Linked DNA regions of Danio rerio. The protein of the gene in region 2 purifies or fractionates together with the protein of the main gene of each other region. This does not show direct contact. Links are inferred from orthologs where the notes say so. Each region holds a gene or a part of one and is shown on either strand. Other genes may lie near its edges.

Evidence for each region.
Region 1: the proteins of hdac12 (region 2) and gcfc2 purify together in Homo sapiens (co-immunoprecipitation; 3 studies listed by BioGRID and IntAct, counting the BioPlex papers as one, with this or other methods). This does not show direct contact. The link is inferred for Danio rerio from reciprocal best matches to the Homo sapiens genes HDAC11 and GCFC2.

Annotation. Positions count from the first base shown.
Region 1 is NC_133192.1:34,235,129-34,239,332, forward strand, and holds the start of gcfc2 (intron Large complex component GCFC2), read left to right. Parts: upstream 1-1,404; 5' UTR 1,405-1,455; coding exon 1,456-1,732; intron 1,733-2,178; coding exon 2,179-2,280; intron 2,281-3,913; coding exon 3,914-4,045; intron 4,046-4,204.
Region 2 is NC_133190.1:36,319,202-36,322,054, forward strand, and holds the end of hdac12 (uncharacterized protein SYNPCC7002_A1628), read left to right. Parts: intron 1-1,516; coding exon 1,517-1,633; intron 1,634-1,714; coding exon 1,715-1,857; intron 1,858-2,106; coding exon 2,107-2,130; 3' UTR 2,131-2,353; downstream 2,354-2,853. UniProt on the Homo sapiens protein: Responsible for the deacetylation of lysine residues on the N-terminal part of the core histones (H2A, H2B, H3 and H4).

The sequences.
Region 1 (4,204 bases), on a different chromosome or scaffold from region 2:
AAAGAAAATAACTTGCGCTTCGAGGAGGATCTGTCATTTCTGGACCAGGAAAGAAGGAAGAGCTTGTGGCCCAAAGTAAAAGAGTCAAGGGCTGCCGGAAAAGTGGCATATTACATCGGGACACGTGCATTCATTGAAGGTGTAAAGGTTACTGTTTAAGCACTGAAATGACAACCTGACTGTTTCAAGTCATTACGGCTTTAGAGATTACCTTATTTTTCTGCTGGATTTATGACTAAGTGATTTAAGTTGGTTATTGGGCTCTGTTCATCTCAACACCTTTACATTTAGTCAGTTTTGACTTTTTGCCTTTGTTTGACCTCATAGTCAACAACTGTTCTTTGTCTTTTGTCACTTATATGTCGTTATCGTTCATTTCACTTAATGTCAGGGGTCTAAGAAACAATGCTATGCGCAAAACACTTTTTTTGTTTGGTAAAAACTATGGTTCGGACTGTTTTTTTAGGAGGATGCTAAATTCTGGAGATCTCAGTGGGGGGACTGATGTGGATGTCTCATGAGACAGAACGGTCAGCAGGTGTCGCTATTTTCAAAAACAAGTTTTGTGGGGAGATTTTGCATTCTGTTAGTGATGATGAGGGTCACTTTCTATTGCTTGTTATAGAATTACATATTATAAAGTGTAAATTTTTGGAAAAAGATTATTATTATTTAATTGACTATAAGTCATATAGGATATTTTGTCTTTAGTGGCTATAAAAACAAAAAGTCTTTTAAAAGTTAAAAATGGATTTCAATGTATAACCTTATATAATTTCCCCTCTGGTCTCTGATTTTTTATTGTTTTTTTTATTTACTTAATTTATGTTTTTTCCTTTTTTCACCTTCTTTAAAATGTGTTTTGCAGATTGTCACAACATGTCCGTCTTTTTCTAATGCTCCAATTTTCTCTAATATACTGTTAACTGTTTTTGAAAGCATTCATTCATTCAGTTTCTTTTCAGCTTAGTTTCTGCCTTTTTTATTCCGGGGTCGCCACAGCGGACTGAACTGCCAACTTATCCAGCATGTTTTACGCAGCGGATGCCCTTCCAGCTGTAACCCATCTTTGGGAAACACTCATTTACACTCACACTACGGACAATTTAGCCTACCCAATTCACCTGTACCGCATGTCTTTGGACAATGGGGGAAACCAGAGCACTCGGAGGAAACCCACGCGAACGCAGGGAGATGCAAAGATGCACCCATGCAAACTCCACACAGAAACGCCAACTGACCCGGCCGAGGCTCGAACCAGCGACCTTCTTGCTGTGAGGCGACAGCACTACCTAATGCGCCACTGTTTTTGAAAGCAATAAATAAACAAACAAACAAATAAATAAATAAATACATTCACACAGGACTTTTATTATGAAATGTTTTTCAACGACGACCAGGAAGTACAAAATACGTCATTTTAAAGCGTTGATTTCACTCAGCATTGGATTTATAATGTTTAATAAGAAGCCGCGCCGAAATTTCCGGCAAAGGAAAAATGAATCCAGTGATGAAGACGACAATGGAAAATTAGCTGCTGGTGAAGGTGGAAAAGATGCGGATTTAAAGGCAGATTTACCCTCAAAAGCAGGGATTTCAAGCAGTTCACGAGAAGCTCGAGAGTGTGACTCGAGTGAGGCAGAAGAGGAGGCTTCAGTTTCAGCACTCCAGACCAAAGACAGAAAACTGCACACAGACAGCAAAACACTCAGCTTCTCTGATGATAAAGACTGTAAGTATAAACACTATAGCCAGGTTTTTGATAAATGTATGTGTCTTAAAGCAAAACACTGCAGATGATCGGGGTAAAAATGTATCACAATTATTTATCAGTTGATTGATTACATTAAATGCATAATAAAATAATTAGTAATAATCTTAATTAGAAATAATAAAATATTTAGAAAAAAATATGAAAACCTATAATTGTAAACTTTCATAGTAGAAAAAAACAGCTGATGCTATAACTTAGAGGTCAGGTTTACAGCTTTCAAGATGTCTTATTTATATCTTATATCTCGTTTGGAACAATTAAATAGAGTAAATAATGATGGAATTTTCAACTTGGTGTGAAATGTAAATAAAAAGCCCAAAACCTCACGATATAGAGTTGCATGAATAAACAGTGTTTTGCCTACTACAGTGTCTCACATTAATGAAGAAATTTGACTCTTACAGCTACAGAGGGAGGTTTTCAAGTGAAACGTTCAGTCAACAGAGAAGTTTTGTTCCAAGCGCGGAAAAAAGAGGATTCTCCTGCACCTGCAACCAGTTCTCAAGGTGTGTGTTTTATTTTACATCAACTGTAATAACTACAGTGGGAAAAGTATTTATAGCGCTTTACTTTTTTCCACATTTCTTTATGTTACAGCCTTATTCCAAATAAATCTAATTAAATTCATTTATTTCCTCAAAATTCTACACACAATACCCCATCATGATGATGTTAAAAAAATATATTTTTTAATTGTTTCAAATTTATTACAAATAAAAAAGCAAAGAAATCATATGTACATAAGTTTTCACAGCCTTTGCTCAATACTTTGTTGATGCACCTTTGTTGATGGCAGCAATTACAGCCTCAAGTCTTTTTGAATATGATGCCACAAGCTTGGCACACCTTTGTTTAGGAAGTTTTGCCCATTCCTCTTTGCACTACTTCTCAAGCTTAGGTTAGATGGGAAGTGTACAGCCATTTTCAACAGTGTACAGCCATTTTCAGATCCCTACAGAGATAGGAGGATCAATAGGATTTGGGTCTGGACTCGAAGCCTGCTTGAAGATGAACCGTCGCCCCAGTCTGAGGTCAAGAGCACTCTGAAGCAAGTTTTCATTCAGGATGTCTCTGTACATTGCTGCATTCATCTTTCCCTCTATCCTGACTAGTCTTCCAGTTCCTGCTGCTGAGAAACATCCCCACAGCATGATGCTGCCACCACCATGCTTTACTGTAGGGATGGTATTAGCTTGGTGATGAGCGGTGCCTGGTTTTCTCCAAACGTAACGCCTGGCATTCATTCCAAAGTGTTCAATTTTTGTCTCATCAGACCAGAGAATTTATTTTATTATGGTCTGAGAGTCCTTCAGATGCCTTTTGGCAAATTCCGGGTGGGTAGTGGTTTCTGTCTGGCCACTCTACCATACAGGCCTGATTTATGGATTGCTGCACAGATGGTTGTCCTTCTGTAAGGTTCTCCTTACTTCATAGAAGAACGCTGTAGCTCAGACAGAGTGACCATCGGGTTTTTGATCACCTCCCCGACTAAGGCCCTTCTCCCCGATCACTGAGCTTAGATGGCCGGCCAGCTGTAGGAAGAGTCTTGGTGGATCCAAACATCTTCCACTTACGGATGATGGAGGCCACTGTGCTCATTGGAACTTTCAGAGCAGCAGAAATGTTTCTGTAACCTTCTCCAGGCTTATGCCTTGAGACAGTCCTGTCTCTGAGGTCTACAGACAATTTCTTTGTCTTCATGCTTGGTTTGTGCTTTGACATGCACTGTCAACCCTGGGACCTTATATAGACATGTGTATGCCTTTTCAAATCATGGCTAATCAACTGAATTTACCACAGATGAACTACAATGAAGTTGTGGAAACATCTCAAGAATGATCAGTGAAAACAGAATGGACCCGAGCTCAATTTAGATATGTGAATACTGATGCACTTGTGTGTTTTTTTTTTTCTTTTTTTTTTTTTTTTTTTTTTTTTTATAAATTTGCAAAAATTTCAACAAATCTTTTTCACATTGTCATTATGGGGTATTGTGTGTAGAATTTTAAGGAATAAATTAATTGAATCCATTTTGAAATAAGACTGTAACATATAAAATGTGGAAAAAGTGAAGCTCTATGAATCCTTTCCGGATGTATTGTACATAGTTCTGTACATTGATTCTTCATATGTTTTCAGGAAAGAAGAGTAAGGATGTCAGTCTCTCTGACAGTGATTCTGATGCATCAGCTGAAGACATTCCTCCTGACAGTGATGAAGAAACCTGTTCTACCATGTCAAGTTCCTCCGCTTCTTCACTACCACAACGAGGTAACTAAATCTAAAGACTAAAAATGAACCTACATAATTTTCCCTCTAATACTATAACCACAACTTTTCATTTTTATTTAAATAAATCTAATAAATATTAGATTTGGTTTCGACATTTGTTGTTTTTATTATCATCATTTCTGTCTTACACTTTGAGAC
Region 2 (2,853 bases):
ACACCTACTGATTTGCTTTATCAATAGTGACAGGTAATACTTAAAGTATAAACGTCATGTCTGTTGTCCTAAGATGCATTAATTATGTCAGGTTTCCACTTTTTTCTTGTACTTGAATGTTTAAACGGCCCTCCTATGATTTGTCAGTCACTGAAATGGCCCCCCGCCTATTTAAATTTGAGACCCCTGTTCTACAAGATCTAAAACAGTCGCAAAAATTAGAACTTCTTTGGTAGAGAGAGAAAAAATAAATAAACAAATTGCCCTTAAAGCCACATAAACCTAGGTACAGTACTAGTGTTGGATAGGTTACTTAAAAAAATATTCATTATTGATTGCATCAAAAATATTATTTTAATTTCTTTTCTAATTCTTTTGTTTGAAAAGTAACTTATGCCGAGTTCAGACTGCATAATTTTTTAATAGGAAGAATTGCAGACAACTTCGTTCAAACTTCGTCTCACAGCCAAAAACACGTAATATATCTTTTGTTATTAACTACATAACAAAAAAGAAGCCTTTAATGGGGTAGAAAATGTACATATTTGCTCACCTGGGTTTGAAAGGAATTAGCAATTTCTCCTCAACTTTCTTTTCTAACTTTCTGTATGAAACGTCAAACCCGTGTGTGTGCTCCTGTCAAACCTCAACTAGTTTTTCCCTCCATTTCTTGGGTCCAAATAAACCGAAAATGATCGCTTTTAACTTCTCCCTCAACCTCCCGCTGGCCTGCAGGTACACACACACTAGTGAATGCTGCTTTCTCATTGGCTGTAGGCGATCGCCGATGTTATTTTCAGTCAAAACTCATTTCACACAGCATGATCTGAATCGCCGACAGCTCCAGATATTTAGCATGCCAAATATCTCACGGGCATCAGCGACTCATCGGAGATTCTCTCAGGTCGTATCTTTGATAGTTCATACTGTGTGATTGTCACTCAGGTGCACGAGCACCGATTTGCCTTTGATTTCAGGCATTTGTCAACGACTTCACAAAACCTGTCGGCGAGTCAAAATCGGGGCTAAAATCATGCAGTCTGAACTCGGCATTAGTATCACAATCGCCAGCGATCCAGGCTTGTAGATCGCAGGGAATTATACACCTTCACTTACAATCCCGTCACCATATGGACTACAATTCCTGTAATGTACCTCACACACAACTGTTCTGGTTTTCCGTTGATTACCCACACACACACACAGCTGCGGGAGCTGCTTATTGATTACAAGTTCTATTTATACGCCATGCACAAACACTTTTGGGCTTAGTCTTGTTCACTATTATTGTAGCATCACAAAGCGTTAATCCTGTCTAGTCATTCCGTGTTTGATCCTTGCCTGGTTTTCTGTTATTGCTTCTTTGCTGCCTGTAGTAAATCAAATCATGATTACTATTGGAATGTGAAGAGTCTTTCAACCAGCACAACAAAACATGTTACTGAAAACAATCACCTACTGCCCCTTTAAGAAAAACTCTTGATAAAATATACACCTATCTGTTGTATTATGCAAGTCCAGGAACATCTTCCTTGGCTACTGGAGTCTTTCAGGCCGGATCTGGTGTTGTATGATTCTGGTGTGGATCCGCACTGGGATGATGAACTAGGAAAGCTTCGACTCACTGATGAAGGTGAATTTGTTCATTCTGTAACACATCTAAAATCGCAAAATGCAACTGATTATTCAATGTTGTACTTTTTACTCAACGCAGGACTTTACCGGAGGGATCTCTATGTGCTTCACACAGTTGTTAAAAGCGGCATTCCTGTGGCCACTGTCATTGGAGGAGGCTATTCCAGAGATATTGATCGACTGGCACGCAGGCACTCAATAATTCACAGAGCTGCATTAAAGGTGAGCATGCAGAATCCACAATGAGGATAATGTGGGATTTCATGGAGCTGACAGGCTTGTTATTGCTTATTAGATTATTTACATATTTTTCCCCCTTTTTTAGTTAATCTTATTCTTTTATTATTATTTAAATCGGAACATATGACATGTATAAAACACACACTTTCTGTCCCTTTAAGTCACCTAAATGTAAAGTATTGCACTGTCTGAGGTTTATATGCTTTTAAAGGTTCATATCTTTGCTCTTAGGTTTGGAGGGAACATGGACTTTAACTCCAGGATGGAAATAAAATGAGATTCAACAATCATAGAAGAAAATATTCAGTTTAATTGTGTATGCATAAGTAAAATGTCGAGGATCTTTATATACTTGTAAATGGTTTCAGTAATTTAGATATGTAATTTATGTATATTCCCCCAATGAGGAACAAGGGAACGTTCTGCGGTTTCATTGCAATTGATTTTATGAATAAAAATGACAGATTTTTTCAAGAGATAATCTATGTTTTGCACCTCTAGTATTGTTTTAGCTTTTTAATATATAAAATATTAGCCTTATCTATATATATATATATATATATATATATATATATATATATATATATATATATTTAAAATTTTAATTTAAAATGTAATTCTAAAAGACAAGTCCAATTTATATATATATATATATATATATATATATATATATATATATATATATATATATATATATATATATATATATATAATATTATATTAAATATATATAATATATATTTTACATTTAAATTTTATTATTAAGTGATCAAATTAAATAATTAAACACTGTAAATAATTACCTATTTCTTTTAAAAGACATTAATTTTAGCTAGTGATCATACAGTTTTTTGTATATCTTTGTAGATAATAAAATAATTAAATTATTTTAATAACATAAAGAAAAATTGCCTTTCACTAAAAAGATATGCATTTGAACCAGCATGTCAGCTAAAACCTTGGTACTTTAGAAGATTT